3 linked regions of the Arabidopsis thaliana genome follow. The protein of the gene in region 1 interacts with the protein of each later gene in a pairwise test. Each region holds a gene or a part of one and is shown on either strand. Other genes may lie near its edges.

Region 1 (5,021 bases):
GAAGTTTTAACAAATTTTTAAGAATATTTGTTCAGATATGATCTACTGGAATTCCGTTACATTTCAATGATAGTTTTTGTGGTTAACTTTTTTTAAAGAATTAAATCTTTTTAAAAAAAAAAATTGTTTTTTTCAGAGTTTATATAGTAAAATTTATAAATATAGGTATAAAATCAAAATTTATTGGATTTTCCGTAAGTTTAATTGTATGTATGAATCATCAATAGTACAAGATCCATAATATATACCTATACGCATCAAAATTGGTATATGTTTCCTCAAGCAAAGGGAAGTTCGTTAATTAGCATAAGGGTAAAGAATAATGTCTTCTACATGATTCGCATGACTATTACTTGAGTTATATAAAGATTCTATGTACGTATGTCTTCAGATATGTAAAGGAAGAATTAATGTAATTCTAAAATGTTCTAAAAAATTGATGCGGGTTTTAATTTAGTGGTTTGTATGTACGAATGTTGCTACCCTGTTCGCTGTCCGGATTCCAATATGATAAATATGCGTGTGAGTACAAACGAAAAAAAGACTATTATAGAACATTAAATCTTTAAATTATTGAGTTATTTACGTGTTAAGGCTCAATGAATATTCGAACTAAAGTTGTGACATCAATTTACAAGTAAATGTGGGCTTTCCGTCTTATAAACTTTTTTCATTTCCCATGACATGTGTATTGAACTCCTTTAATACAATAATGAGGTGAAAACTTTTTAAGATAAAGATTTTTGTAACTCCACTAGGGAAAAATCATTGTATCAAACTTTAAAAAATTTCGAAATACAAATGTTAAAATAGACCACTTAGCATGAAATGTTCGTATACGTATATAGATCGAGCTTTAAGAACTTTGTACTAATTAGGATCAAACTATAAAATATTTTGCTAATATATCAAACTGTATATGATTATCTCAACAGAACCTTGTTGTAACTTGCTATAAGCCATGTTGAAAGCTGGTTCACCAGCCGGGCACAAGCTTAGCTCCTGGCTCATCGACCGATCTGCGATACGACTTTTTCAGTGGTTAACAATAGTAATAGGTCCCTCCACTCGACCTTTTTTAATGTATATAAAAAGCTAAGATGTGAGCTTTTTTTTCTGGACATTTAAAGTTGAGTTCACATGAGACCGAACCAAAACATGAATCTGGCTATAATAAAGCGACGTGTATATGTAATATATATAAGTCTTTGTCCTCTCCACTTTATTCTATATGAAATGCATGTGGCCGTTGCTCCACATTTTTTGTTTCTCATCATAAATAAGCTAAGTAAAGGTATCTAAAAATTAATATAATTATAGTATACTAAATTTAATTTTAATCAGAATTTTGTACTAGGGATTGTGTGATTTAGAAGTCTAGGCGCATTTTTCATCCTTATTAATTATCTTTCCTTAGATTGGTAAATTATTAAGCGAAAAAGCTATGTAATGCCGTATATATATTTATACAATCAATTATGATTGATGCAGCATTTTAACCAAAGAGAAAACAATTCAACATTAAGATAAAAATTAATTTATTTTCTATATTTCCATTAATTTTCTGTTGTATATTTAAACATTATTTACGAAACAATATATTTTGATTCAAGATTTAACAATTAAATTATTGAATTTTTCACATTATATTTCTAATGAAGAAACTAATCTAAAAATACTCTACATTTGATGTATCCTTGCAATCGAAATATTCAATGTTTCCGTGTAGCAAGCAAGTATATATACTTAACTTTTTGGTCATAGGTTAACTTATAGGGTTCTTTACAAAAAGCATTGGTCTCATCTCTCATGCAAAGCACCAGTTTGGTTCAGTTAATTGAAAAGTATGTTCCTTAGATTCTCTGATTGAAACGATGATTCTAGTCCCTCTCCAGTGTGTGTCCATCCCGTGTTAAAAGAAATTGACAAAACTAAAATAAAGAAAGATTGCCATTCTCTTTAAAAAAAGATTGTCTTTCTCTTTAAGAAAGATTATTAAACAGTGAACATAAAGAACCACAAATTACTCTATTCTGACTGTAAATATCATAATTAACCAGCATATGTTCACATACAATTTTTGTTTTATCTAATCACTAACTAAAATGATAAGTTTATTGAAGATAATATGGAATTGATAATTTTTTGTTTTTTTTGTTGAATCTTCTAACAAGAATGAGAGAAAACTATATGAAGTATTCAATTCCAATATGAAAAGTTAAACTTTTTCTAGGAGTGTAAAGAAATATCTCATTCTTGAATTTCTTAAAACGTGTGAAATATGGACTGTTTTCTTCATCACTAAGCTATTACTGGTTACATAATTTTCAAATTTGTTAATTTATTTTTGTTATATGGACCCAAAACAAGCTATTGGTGCCCTACACAATATTTCCTGCTTTTACAAAAGTTGGCTCTGCCAAATAAAAATTTTCAAGTTTTTAACCCCACCATAGTGCAACATGACTCAAAAGCTGTTTATACAGTATAGTCTACGGTCTTACATCGTATTTTGGAAATATGACCAAATTACCCCTTGGTTTGTCCATAAATATCAAGCTCCAACAATGCAATTCTTCCCTTTTCCCCTTCTAATTTCTCTCATCTCTCTATTAGAAAAATTATTAGCAATTATGTTGTCCACTGCACCGGCCTTTTCATTCTCCGAACCGGGTTTGGTTAATCAATTCTCGGGTTTCCAAACCGGGTTCACTCCTTGGGAATGGGATTGCTCTGATCTCTTTTTCGTGGACCAAATGTCTCTTGAACCGGCCATCCCTAGTCCTTGTTATGGTGAATCCGACACTGGTTCCGTCAAAATTAATTCCGGTTCTCATGACATGAAAACCGGTTCTGACGAATCTTGTGCCGGTTTCGTCAAAATTAATCCTCGTTGTGACGACGCCGACATATCAAACGATCTACCGTGCTCTCAAGCAGATGAACCGGACTCGGACGACACAAAACAATTGACAGCCATCACAAATTTCGGTTCGGGAGAGAATAACCATAACCGGAAAAAAATGATCCAACCGGAGATGACCGACGAGCGGAAGAGGAAGAGGATGGAGTCAAACCGGGAATCAGCGAAACGGTCAAGAATGCGTAAACAAAGTCACATTGATAACTTACGAGAGCAAGTAAACCGGTTGGATTTAGAAAACCGTGAGCTCGGGAACCGACTCCGGTTAGTTTTACACCAGCTTCAACGAGTGAATTCCGACAATAACCGGCTCGTGACAGAACAAGAGATACTCCGGCTAAGATTGTCGGAGATGCGTCGGATTCTGATCATTAGACAACTTCAACAACAGCAACAATGGGAACTACATAACCGGAGAATGATCATGACTGAACAAAACCACCCTCATCTTCAATGATAGATCAAAATATTTAAGAAGAAAAAATATCGAAAAACTTAGAACAATAACCAAAAAAAAAAAGCAAAGCAAAAAAGAAACTCTCGCTATGTCTCTCTATCTCTCTATGTAAATGAAATGAAGGTTAGGAAGAGAAAATGATAGTTTTCTAATTTTCCTTTCCACTTTCTCGTTTTCTATATGTTGTGACTCCACTACACTAGAGAAGAAGGAAAACAAAACAGATTTTTATTTTGGTTTTCTTTTTCCCACTCTCGTGTATGAGATAAATAACTTAAAGAGTTATTAAATTAATACAACGATTTACATTATTACTTAGTGGAAACTGGAAAGGCTTTATGCGCATTGACATCATGCTACAACGCCCATAATTGTTGAAAAGATACACTGTATTTTAAAGTACTAAACCAAGCCTAATAAACCGGTTGCCACGATCCCAAATACTGTAATATCACTACATAATATATCTTAATCGTTAAAATGCCTATCTCGGCCCAAATAAAGTTTTGGAACATAAAGCCCAACAATAATTTAGGTCCTCAAGTCCATTTTTGTTACGACCCTAAAAGTTTTCCCTTGATGAAAGAGCAAAGATAAACCCTAGTTTGTAACTGAACAATTAGAATAAAGATTGTGATTATATGAAGTGATTATCAAACAAATGATTCAGAAATCGGAAACGAAGAAAGAATCAGAAGAACAACGATTTTCTAATTTCCTCTTTAAGCTTTAGAAAGACGAAACAGAACATAATGAAAGAGAAAAAACAGAGCTTTTCTTTTTTTGTTTCCTGCCGCAGGACTTGGTTTCAGTTTTCAGGTTGTGTAATGAAAGTAATCGCCATTGTGTCTGTTGTTCTCTGCAATGGGGCTGCTCACGGAGCTGTTGTTAGAGAGTGAACAAAATGTGGACTTTTGCAAAACCCCTGTAGGAGAAGATCCAAATGTTGGACTATTCGTTGTACTGTTTAGTACTTCACCTAGAGGACCTCCTAAGGAGTTTCCCCATGAGATTGGTATCCAAGTATTCACCTTTTTCACAGTAGGCTCGATTGTTGTTTCATCGGTTTGGATCGATAGGTCAAGCTCGCGGGATAGCCTGAGAGGCGAGAGTGTTGTTTTTTCTTGAGCATTGTTGTTGTTGTGTGTGGAGGAAGGGGATGATGATGCTATTGGAATTGACATTGAGAGCTGTGTCCAATCTGATGTCAGCTCTTCAGGCCAAGAATTGTGATTGTGATTCCCTGAATGCTTCTCTTGGTTGCTGCTGAAATCCAAGAACGATGATCCATAGGTCTTTGCGGTATTCGGGTTGAGTAACGAATCAGAGGATATGTGTCCAAACTCAAAAGGGTTGTTGTTGTTTCTGTGTTTCTGATGAATAACCGGAGATTCCTTGGGTTGTAAGTTGACGGTGGAAGGATATATCGAAACTCCTCTGTTTTGCAAGAGTCAGTAAGTGAGATATGAACTAACAATGAATATGCAGAGTATTAAAAATCTGTTTTCACCTGTTGTTAGGTAAAGATTCTGTAGAAGGATTGATATATTGACTTCCAATGGCGAGGCTGCGGTTGCTTGATGCACGGGCATTGCTTCTGTTAGTATTACCAGCGACAACAGGCTGTTGTGGTGTAGTAAC
Region 2 (5,913 bases), on another chromosome or scaffold:
TTTTTTTTTGTCTATTGTCGTTGAAAAATGACATCAAATGAATCTGTTGCCTTCCTTACGTAGGAAACGTTTTGTTGAAATAGTAATAATTAGTAAGGGTCATTGTATATTGGTGGAGAAAATGTTTTTCTTACTTCTGTAATTGCATCGTCTTTTCTTCACGTAGGGTAGGCAATCACATGCATTCAGGCGTGCGTTCACTGTTTTCTTTTTTCTTCTAGCTTTTTGTTTTCCTACTATATTGTTGCAGAAAAATGTTTAGTTTAAACTAAATTAATTATCCAACTCTTTAAAGTGGCAATCTTGTAAATAAAAAGGGGAGTAGGTCTGGACCAATGTGGCAATGCGAGCGATATGTTAAAAAAGCTGTGGAATAAACAAAATTTTGGAAATTAGGAGTTCCTTTCGTTTTATGGAATTGAAAGAAAATGACACTTTCAATATTTTTTTGGTATTTCTTTAGTAAAAAATGTTTTAAATTTTTAATCGATCGAATCGTAATGAACCTTACAAAAAAATCATAAAATTTGAAGTTGATATATAAATTTTAATCTAGAGATGTTAACTTTTTGGATTAATCTGGAAGCGACCTGTTTTAAGTTGTTTCAAAACTATTAGGACCGAAACCAAATAGAATCGAGCAAAAAATGTTAGAAATTTTTATTTTATTTTGTGTTCTTTAGGTTAACCAAATGTTCGTTCATGGTGTAAGATATCAAATAATGGATGAGCTTAACCTCTAAAATACAAGTTTAAATTGATCGGTTCAAATCGGACCGAACTTAAATGATTTTGCAAGTTATTAGAGTGATCATGATCATGTTATGTTACGGAATATTACAGAGTAACTTAACTTAAGCACTGACTTAGTTGACCCAAAAAGAGACCATTGACTTCATGAAATGCTTGAGTGTGGAAAAAATAAAACAGAGTTATTCAAAAACGTTTTGAGTTGTGAATTATTCTCATTAACATTGTATTTATTTGGTGCACAAAAAAAAAAAAAAAAAAAATTGTATTTATTTATACCCACTAAAGATGGGAAGAAGACTTGTAAATTATGATGAAAAGTCCCTCGGTTGGTAGCAACTAGCAAATGTGGGGATGGAACAATCCTCCACGTTCGAAATTGTTCTTCTTTAGCACAATCAAGATACTGCAAAGTAAACTACCTCTAATGTAATTAATTAACCTCACAAATTGTTATGTTAATTAATGGTATTGAATTATACTCGTCGATCTTTTGTAAGATATTTTTGTTGAATGCCGAAAAAATTATCAGAATCTATAATTGATGTTTTTGTTTAAGAGTCAATTTGGGAGAATGAGTTAAATTACTATAGAATACAAGTATACATCACATCAAATAATATGAATAATTCACTAAACAATGAAGGAGTAGTTACTAGTCACTCTCTTTTATTTATTTTTAATTAAAAAACGAATATATATGTTATTGTAGTTTAATACTATTAATAAAATAAAATTCTATTACTTCACTTAGCTAAAAGACCCACAGTGCAGTAACAGTGAGAAGTAAATTTCATGAATAATGTATTACAATACAATAATAACTTGTTCGATACAAAGTATTATTCCTTTCACAAACTAAATTTATTTACCATATATCCATAATATAATTCCAAAAATAGTATGTTTTATTACCATATTGTAAAAGGGAAAAATGTCATTTAAATCATCACTTTACCATTTTCGTTGGTTTAAAACATAAACTCTCGATTTGGTGATTTAAATCCTCAATTTTATGTTGACGTTTAATTTAATCACGAATTCTCGTTAACTAAGCCAATTAAGACACATCGTTAAAAAATTTTCTAATTAAAATTTTTGAGTTTTTCTCTATTTTTCTTCAGAATCTCTTATCTTCTTTGGAATTTCTCTTCTTATTCGAATTCAAAGTAATCTTTCATCTTTAGGTCGATTGACGATACCGGGAAAAAAAATTGTGTCTCAATTGGCTTAGTCAACGAGAATTTGTAATTAAATTGAAAATCAACATCAAATTAAGAATTTAATTCACAAGATCCAAAATTCATACTTTAAACCAACGAAAATGATAAAGTGATAATTTAAAAAACATTTTCCTTATCCCTATTGTAAAACTATTTTCACCAATCTTAACCGAAAAAATGAAATAAAACTGTCCAAAAAAAAAAAACCAAATGCTAATAAAAAACGAATTTAATTTCCCATCTTCGTTTTTTTTCTTTCTTTTAATGCTTTAATAAATTTTTATTGAGATCTGTGTTTGAACAATCGTTTCTTAAAAGATTTTTAACATCTTTTTAAATTCCTCGGTCTCTTAAATTTACCAGTTACATAACTTTCTTTTATTTTTCCGACATAAATTAAAAGTTTTGTCTTTGGTAATAGAGAGGCAGAAAAATCTTGGCCATAGATTTGTCATCTGTTTTCGATTCGTTTTGATTCTTTACTTTATCTTCTTCTTCTTCTTCTTCTTCCTCTTTTTGAATCTTTTATCTTCTCACTTTTCTTTTTCACTTTTGGGAAGCTCGAAGAGCTGAGAGGAGTGTGAGAGAGAAAAGGATCTTTGAAGTCGCCGGAATAATTTGTTTAACCGGAGCTCTGTCTTTGACTCTACGCTTCTCTCTCTTCTTCTTCCTTCTTCGTCTTCTTAATCGCTTTCTGCTCTGTTTTTCTCGTTCATCAAGCTACATCTACTAGCTCTCTCAGTGATTGATTTCTCACAGTTTCATCGATTTCCATGCGTTTAAGACCTAAAAGGTAACTGGGTTTGCTAAAGTTTGTTACTTTGAATGGTTTTTATAGTTTCTCTGTTCGAATCTGAAGTGGGTTGTTGTGTTTTTGCTGGTTATTGAAACAGGACTTGTTCTGGGGTAAAGGACTTTTCTTGTTCTTGAGAGAGTTCATTTTGAGGCTTTTCTGGGAATTTTGAGAGGTTTTTTAGGGTTTAAGGGGGTTTGGTTTTGAATTTCGCACACCAAGTGTTCGATAAAATGGCTGAACGAAAGAAACGCTCTTCTATTCAAACCAATAAACCCAACAAAAAACCCATGAAGAAGAAACCTTTTCAGCTAAATCACCTCCCAGGTTTATCTGAAGATTTGAAGACTATGAGAAAACTCCGTTTCGTTGTGAATGATCCTTACGCTACTGACTACTCATCAAGCGAAGAAGAAGAAAGGAGTCAGAGAAGGAAACGTTATGTCTGTGAGATCGATCTTCCTTTCGCTCAAGCTGCTACTCAAGCAGAATCTGAAAGCTCATATTGTCAGGAGAGTAACAATAATGGTGTAAGCAAGACTAAAATCTCAGCTTGTAGCAAAAAGGTTTTACGCAGCAAAGCATCTCCGGTCGTTGGACGTTCTTCTACTACTGTCTCGAAGCCTGTTGGTGTTAGGCAGAGGAAATGGGGTAAATGGGCTGCTGAGATTAGACATCCAATCACCAAAGTAAGAACTTGGTTGGGTACTTACGAGACGCTTGAACAAGCAGCTGATGCTTATGCTACCAAGAAGCTTGAGTTTGATGCTCTGGCTGCAGCCACTTCTGCTGCTTCCTCTGTTTTGTCAAATGAGTCTGGTTCTATGATCTCAGCCTCAGGGTCAAGCATTGATCTTGACAAGAAGCTAGTTGATTCGACTCTTGATCAACAAGCTGGTGAATCGAAGAAAGCGAGTTTTGATTTCGACTTTGCAGATCTACAGATTCCTGAAATGGGTTGCTTCATTGATGACTCATTCATCCCAAATGCTTGTGAGCTTGATTTTCTCTTAACAGAAGAGAACAACAACCAAATGTTGGATGATTACTGTGGCATAGATGATCTGGACATCATTGGTCTTGAATGTGACGGTCCAAGCGAACTTCCAGACTATGATTTCTCAGATGTGGAGATCGATCTTGGTCTCATTGGAACCACCATTGACAAGTATGCTTTCGTTGATCATATCGCAACAACTACTCCCACTCCTCTTAATATCGCGTGCCCATAAGTTTTGCAGCTAGGTGTTATTATTAGCTATAGGAGCAACGTAAAAAGCTCGTTGTTACTCGGTTTTGTCTTAAGTTATTAAAGTATAGCAGAGGCAGTTAATCTCAAGGGAAGCAAAAACCCTAAAGATAGAAGCAGATGCAGTTTTGTGTGTTGGTGTTACTAAAGAAAGTTTTGTTGACATAATGGTTTTGATGTTGTGGAGAAGATAGAGAGGTGTGATCGAAATTGTAAATCTCAGGTGGTTTTTTTTGAAGGCAATTGTTTCTCATTTAGGGTTTTTTTCTATATGAGGATTGTCTTTGAAAAGCCTTTAGATGTTTTCTAATTCGTAAGCTCTCTCAATCTTTGTAAGTTTTGCCTGTTGAGTTATTGATACATATGTGAGACCTACTTTATTTGTTTTGTGCTACATACATTGTTGATGGTTTCGTCCTCTGCTCTTGTTAAGTCATTGTTACCAATGTTTGATTGCTGTTTCTTTCGGGTTGATTCAGTCAGACATGAAGATAACTAGATAAACCGTTTGTTCTCTGCAATCACTACCTATAGAGTTAGGGTTTAGGCTTATCCTCTTTTTGCATTATATCAGTAAAGTTTTCTTTAAAAGTTATGTGAACAAAAACACATAATGCAAGATAGAGAGGTTAATGGGTTTGGTTGATGATAACAGTAGGACAAATTATCACCGCTCTAATTGCGTTGGTTCTTAAACCATTTCTTTTATAATATTTAATATTTGATCTAATTTTCTTAAAGCAACCTTTGCGTATATTACAAGTCTTGCCAAAATTTTCAACTAGTTCCATCTTTGATATAAAGAGTATATAGTGGTGTGTTCTTTTGTGTCAAGCCATCTCTCAACTTCAGACTGTAGCTGCTTTTGGATTTTATTAGTTTCGTTTTAGTGAACAGAATTATGGATATACATTGAATTGAACGTGCATATTCATTTTGTTTTTGTTTTTTCAACAAATTAAAATGAATTCTAAGATGTTTTTGTTTTTTTGTTAATTGAATTCTTAAGATGTTGACAGAAAATAAATTGAAGTCTTAAGAATAATTGATTTGAGATTTTAAGACTTGTACTTTTCTTTGGAGATTGGAGATTTGACATGCTCGAAGTCGATGTATACAATTTGGTTTTTTATCAAGTGTCATTCTCATTCGATGGAGCTTTTTTTTTATCAAAAACGTGGAAATTAGTGATTTCTAATGATCTGAAATAAAAATTGGGTTTACTTCCATGGTTTTTTTTTGGACAAAGGGGTTTACTTACGATCAAGCAATCAATTACATAGTTATTCTGGATTAGTCATTTGGTAATATTTAGCATCTTATGAAGAATCTTAAACACGTCCATTATACAACTAAATATGTTGCACCATTTGATGGAAAAAAAATATGTTGCACCAAAAAAATGATCCAAGATGTTGAAACTTGAAAGAAAAAATCGAATAATAATAACAAATAGGCTTTCTGGCTTTCTATGTTACTGAAAGGCCCAATGCACGTAAACGGAGAGCCCACATTACAAATTAATAATTTTTGTTGGGCTAGTGAGACCATAACGCTATCATACGTTGTAAATCTGTACAGCAAGTTAACAATTACAATAATAATCAGATTTTACACTCTTTTATAGATAAGTCATGGTCAAGACTCAAGAGTCAAGAGTCAAGACCAACAATCAATGGCCTAGCTTGTACAACAAAAGACTTAAGGCTATATAGTTTTAATCAATTAGAGTCACATAATTCACAAATATCAACGATTATACAACGGTTGTTATTGAGTAGTTAAAACATGGTTGATATAGATTAGTGAGAAAATATTGATTGGTTGACAATATATGAAAGTGAAATTATCAAAATGATATTATACATAAGTTTTTAAAATATATCCAAACTCATTTT
Region 3 (6,034 bases), 5.2 Mb from region 1:
TTTTAATTTTTTTTTTTTTTTTTTTTTTGGATTTTCGTATGATAAAAATCTGGCTTTTAAAAAACACACTTTTATGAAAACTAATTTCCTTAATTTTGATTGGATGTTTAGTGAGTTTTTTTGAAATAACAAAAACCAGCTCATTGAAAATTACTCCCATTCCAAGCTTTAATGATGCTGAAATTAAGTTATAGTTTTGAATGGTATAGAAATGGAAATAGAAAACAAGACCAAAAGAGAGATTAAAGGTTTTTGAGGTAATATGCAAGGACAGTTCATAGTTTATTTGGGCCTTTACAAACAAAACATGGGCCTATGTTAATGCATAATATGATAAGACTAAGGCCCATGTCTTCCTACCTATTCACCTACATGGCCAAACCCAGTCGATAAGTTTGTGACGGAACCACAATCATGACACTCGTCCTTATTTGCTCAACTACGGTTAAAAAAAACTTGATAAATGGGTAACAACACACTTCACGAAGAAACTTAAAAATCAGTCTAACGAGGTTTTCACTAATAAAAAGTTTTTGTTTCTTTCCCTAACGACTTTACCAAACAAAGAAAGGCAAACTTAACTTTGCCAAAATTACTAAAATCACTGTCGCACAACAAAAGTCTCCTCTTTGTTTTTTTCTTTTCAAAATCTCCTTATATATCAGAGTTGATAGAGCATTTATTAAATCAGTATGTGTGATTTATTCTATATTCTGCATAAATATGTAATATTTTTAGCATCTTTTTTTTTTTTTTTTTCTCATAAGTGTAATATTTTATTCATTTTATCATTACCAGTACAATGCTTGGTTATGAGAAAACCAAAATAAAGCCCAAGACATCCCACATATAAAGGCTCATACGACACAAAAGAAGAGATAAGCTATAGACGTGTCAGACCAATAATAATAAGCTAGGGACACGTGGAACGTCCACAACCTTCACTAGTCCTGGACAAAATATTCGTTCGATCCGCTTTAACTCAATATTCGATTTGATTTGATTCGAAAAATCCGAATATTCGTAAGATTTTGGAGCAAAGCAAATAGAAAAATGTAGTAATCGTAAAAACCGAAGCAAATAACAAATACTATTTTTTCTAAAGTCGGATATTCGCTTCGATCTATATATATATATATATATATATATCACAATATAGGTTGTGCATTTGTATATGTTGGGATTTGGGCTTGTATTTGTATCCTTTGGGCCTGTGTTTTTTTTGTGACACAGTTTTTATTAGAGAAGTGGAATTTTTTAAAATAAAATTGTTTTATTTTTTATATTTTATCCTAAAATTGTCGTTTTACTTTCCAATCCATCAAATATAAGAGCGACATTTCTGTTTCCTTTCTTCGACCTTTCACTATTTTTATCACTCAATTTGGTTACAGAATTTATAACCAGAAAATTTTCAGTTGCTCTCAATCTCACACTCGTAAGTCATAAGGTAAGAAATTTGAAATCTATGTTAAATAATTTATATAAAAAAATATTTGGATGTAGCAAAGCAAAGCGGATATCCGACAAATATCATACAAAAATCCGGATATTCGTATTTTCGGATATTTGGAAATTTTCGGATCAAAGCAAATAATAAAATTAAGTATTCGATTAAAACGAATCGAATAACAAATATCCCAAATTTTCCGGATATTCGCTTCGTGCCCAGGCCTAACCTCCACTGCACATGAGACTCAAGCCTGGTGAATCAGAAACGTCGTTGGAAAATCACCGGTCAACGAGACTTCTTTTTTATCACCAATTAAAAGTTACAGAACAAACATCAATCTCCTAATCTCATCCGATTGCAAGAATCACAAAGGATTCGGCAAAAATGGGTAAAAGAAATTAGAGAAAACTGAGTAGTTCAAACTTGTCTAACAATTAAATCTCTTGCAAGAACAACAAAGGCATATCTTAATTGCATAGGAAACGAGCTTTGACCTAACCTTAGTCGTGGAGAAATTGAAACTGTCTTAAACACAGTAGATCCAAACGAACCTAATTGTCGAGAACGCACACATCGCCGGAAAACTGTTGGAGCCAAAAAAAACAGAACCCAACGGTGAAGCCAATCAAAGCAGAAAGAAACTAAATCATGCGAAGAGAACACCTCTTCGGAACTGAAGATTCTGCCTGTCATAATGTTTCATCATCAAGATTTTAAAGCTACAAAACAAAAACAAATCCGAAGAAACCGAATTCAAAATTGCCCAAAAAGAAATCTAAATCCCGATCAACGGGAGATAATAGCCGGAAAAAATCCAGATAACGGAAACCGGAAGAAACCCGGACGGCGATTCTAAACTTACATCGGAAAAATCTTTCTCTGAAAAATACTATAGAGAGAAGAGAGAGACCTTCCTCCTTTTAGATCTTTCTTTAATTAAAAATTTAATTTTTATATTTTTAGCATCTAATCAGCCTCAAAAATATAAAATATCTTAGATTTTTCTCGAATAATAATAACGAATATATATATAATTCGAGCTCCACTTGCTCCAAATTTAAAATCATTGACGCTGAGGAGTGTCAAAACGCTTGACAAATGATCACACGTGTAAGCCTATGAGTGGTGGTCGATTTGACTGATGCACTATCAACACATACCTAAAGATATAGAGAGAGAAACGCATATCGTTGACTCTCCCCCTTTTTCACTCTCTTCATTTATTCTTCCCCTCATCATCATCATCATCTTCTTCTTTAACCAAAAACACAACTTACAAGAAAACTGTTGAATCTTTGTATTTATTTACATCTCCTTTGACCTTTAATAAGAATCTGAGTGGTTGGTCTCTGATTTGATGAGATGACTGTTGAGCTGATGATGAGCAGCTACAGCGGCGGCGGAGGAGGAGGTGATGGTTTTCCTGCAATCGCCGCGGCGGCGAAAATGGAAGATACCGCTTTGAGAGAAGCTGCTTCTGCAGGGATTCACGGTGTGGAGGAGTTTCTTAAACTGATCGGTCAAAGTCAACAACCAACGGAGAAGAGTCAGACGGAGATAACCGCGGTGACTGACGTCGCCGTTAACAGCTTCAAGAAGGTCATTTCTCTACTCGGTAGATCTAGAACCGGACACGCTAGATTCAGACGAGCTCCCGCGTCAACGCAAACGCCGTTTAAGCAAACGCCGGTGGTTGAGGAGGAGGTGGAGGTGGAGGAGAAGAAGCCAGAAACAAGCTCCGTGTTAACAAAACAGAAAACAGAGCAATATCACGGTGGTGGATCTGCGTTTAGAGTTTATTGTCCAACACCAATTCATCGTCGTCCTCCTCTATCACACAATAACAACAACAATCAGAATCAAACAAAGAACGGTTCGTCTTCTTCATCTCCTCCGATGCTCGCAAACGGAGCACCGTCAACGATAAACTTTGCGCCGTCACCACCAGTCTCAGCGACGAACTCATTCATGTCTTCTCATAGATGTGACACCGATAGTACTCACATGTCATCAGGATTCGAGTTCACTAACCCATCTCAGCTCTCTGGTTCGAGAGGTAAACCTCCTTTATCATCAGCTTCGTTGAAGAGAAGATGTAATTCATCTCCCTCAAGCCGTTGCCATTGCTCCAAGAAAAGGTTTTGATTCAACTTCTATTATTAAAAATTAATCTTATTTTAGATCTAAATCTTGAGATTTGATTAATAAAACGTTAATTATAATTTGTGTAAAAAAATCAGGAAATCAAGAGTAAAAAGAGTGATTAGAGTTCCAGCAGTAAGTAGCAAAATGGCTGATATACCATCAGATGAGTTTTCATGGAGAAAATATGGTCAAAAACCAATCAAAGGCTCTCCTCATCCTCGGTAATTATTTTTTACATTTTTTACCATCGATATATATACTCTACACATACATCACAATCACTCACTAGATTCAACACCAAAAATCAAATATTGGCTAGAAAATTAAGCAACTTGTGTATTGTCAATATTAGTACCAGAGAGATTGTCAATATTGTTTTTTTCTATATCGGTTGTACCAAACATGTTGTCTAGTAGTACAGTAGTGGGTTCAGTTTCACGCTCTTTTTGACTTGTTGTTTCCTATAGAATAAATTTGAAATAGAAAGCCGAGAGTTAAGTTGACTATTTCTTTTCTCATTAATTAATAAGAACTCGAACTAACTGGGGAGGACTCGGTGTAATGGTTATGACAGGGGATATTACAAGTGCAGCAGTGTAAGAGGTTGTCCGGCGCGTAAGCATGTGGAGCGTGCACTAGATGATGCGATGATGCTAATCGTGACGTACGAAGGAGACCACAACCATGCTTTGGTTCTCGAGACGACGACGATGAATCATGACAAAACTCTTTAGTTTCTCGAGTTTGAGGGGAACTGTCTGTGTGTGACCACTATCCAGATTAGTCAACGACAGAGTGGGCCCGCACTGCACTTTTTTATTCTTTTCTTTTTGAAAAGCTTTTGCTTTATCTTTCTTTTTGATTGGAGGAAATAGAGGGAGGGGAGATAAAGACGAGAGAGGAACGTTGTGGATCTTGATGGAAGTTGAATCATGTGAATGTCCTTTTCTGTTTATTTATTTCTAGGATAATATATATTTAGTGCACTATTTTTGTCAAATCTCTGATTCTTTTCTTACTTGCAGAACTATTTGAGTTTTTAGGGAAATTATCAGTTAATTTAGATTCAACTGACCATAATGCTATGCTGGTAATTGGAAAAAATTGCAATTCAAATTTCGTTAAACAAAAAAAAAAAGAACTATTTGTAGATTACATAGTCAAATCAACTTAACACACGTTTATAGAAACTAGAAAAGTTGTCGATCAAATAATAAGTAGCTCTAATAAGTATTTATTTCAGCATTAGTGAAAAACCTCAGATGCAATGTCGTTATCCTTTTAAGTGTGTTTTTTCCAACAAAGTTGACAATGTTTATGATTATGTTAACGGCTATAAATTCAAGTGTAAAGTACTTCAACATTTAGTAAAAAATTTAAAGCTTTACTACAAAATTTTGTTACCAAGAAAATCAGCTATTCATGCATCATTGCGTTATAACTCTTCAATATCACTTTTAAGTGATGTTTTAGAGACTTTTTTTAAAAAGATGTTTTAAAATTTTTTAGACCAATCATATTTTAGAGTATGTTATCTAATTAGTTAAAATTTGTTTAATTGTATTATATGTAAAAGAGGTAGGATTAAAGTGATACACAAATTATGTGTTTTCTTAATTTGTGTATAAAACCTTTAAACATCACTTAAAGTGATACAAAAAGAGTATTTTACAACATATCCATTAATAGAATTTAAAAAGTCATTCACTTAGTCAAAAAAAAAAAAAAGCATTCCATATTTTTTATTTTATTTTAGAGATTAGTAAAAGAAAACGTTCAAATGCAATGTTATTTAGTATTTTTCTCCCTTACAAAGTTAACGACCTTTTTAGAAATTCTATAACGTCTACAAATCGTTTTAAGTATTAAATTGAAAAATGACAATGAGTTCGAGTAATTTGTTATTGTTAAAATATAAAATTTATCTTATTTAAAAGCAATTCTAAAGTTCTTCTCTTTAGAAGATGGGATAAATTTATCTTATCAACAAAAAAAGGTACTTATATAAAAATTTAAATTTGCCACTCTGAAAAATTAAGCTACATCCGATAACATCATTGAAAATTTAAACGTTGTGAAAGTAAATAACATAGAAGCTTTTTAATTATATATCAATCCATGTATCATCGAAGCTTTCTTATAAAAAGTAACAAGTCAACTTAATCTAGTAGCCTCAAAAGTAGAAAGGAACGTTGGCGTCAATGTCATAGATGCACACAATCCTCTGATGAGAGCTCTAAATGTGAAATAATAAAGGGATAGCCTTATTGGATTACGACACAAATTGCAACTTAATTAAGGGTTTTCACTTTGGACATTATAAGATTCAGGAGTTGTAGGTTGCATCTCTATCCTATGAGCCTCGCTCGTGGATTCGCCTCTGTTCCTCGTATCTTCTAACCATCCTTCCAGTGTGGACTGTACTACATTGTCGAA

Evidence for each region.
Region 2: the proteins of bZIP7 (region 1) and CRF11 interact in a two-hybrid assay, tested with the Arabidopsis thaliana proteins (one large-scale study listed by BioGRID).
Region 3: the proteins of bZIP7 (region 1) and WRKY7 interact in a two-hybrid assay, tested with the Arabidopsis thaliana proteins (one large-scale study listed by BioGRID).

What each region holds. Positions count from the first base shown.
Region 1 is NC_003075.7:17,721,338-17,726,358, forward strand, and holds bZIP7 (basic leucine-zipper 7), read left to right. Parts: upstream 1-2,301; 5' UTR 2,302-2,462; coding exon 2,463-3,380; 3' UTR 3,381-3,700; downstream 3,701-5,021. Other genes in the region: GRF2 (growth-regulating factor 2), read right to left, coding at 4,196-4,817, 4,891-5,021.
Region 2 is NC_003074.8:9,473,053-9,478,965, forward strand, and holds CRF11 (Integrase-type DNA-binding superfamily protein), read left to right. Parts: upstream 1-2,359; 5' UTR 2,360-2,766; exon of another isoform or gene 2,767-2,866; 5' UTR 2,867-2,999; coding exon 3,000-3,998; 3' UTR 3,999-4,538; downstream 4,539-5,913.
Region 3 is NC_003075.7:12,569,115-12,575,148, forward strand, and holds WRKY7 (WRKY DNA-binding protein 7), read left to right. Parts: upstream 1-2,423; 5' UTR 2,424-2,815; coding exon 2,816-3,591; intron 3,592-3,693; coding exon 3,694-3,819; coding exon of another isoform or gene 3,820-3,823; exon of another isoform or gene 3,824-4,172; coding exon 4,173-4,332; 3' UTR 4,333-4,659; downstream 4,660-6,034. Other genes in the region: MLO13 (Seven transmembrane MLO family protein), read right to left, coding at 5,894-6,034. UniProt on the Arabidopsis thaliana protein: Transcription factor. Interacts specifically with the W box (5'-(T)TGAC[CT]-3'), a frequently occurring elicitor-responsive cis-acting element.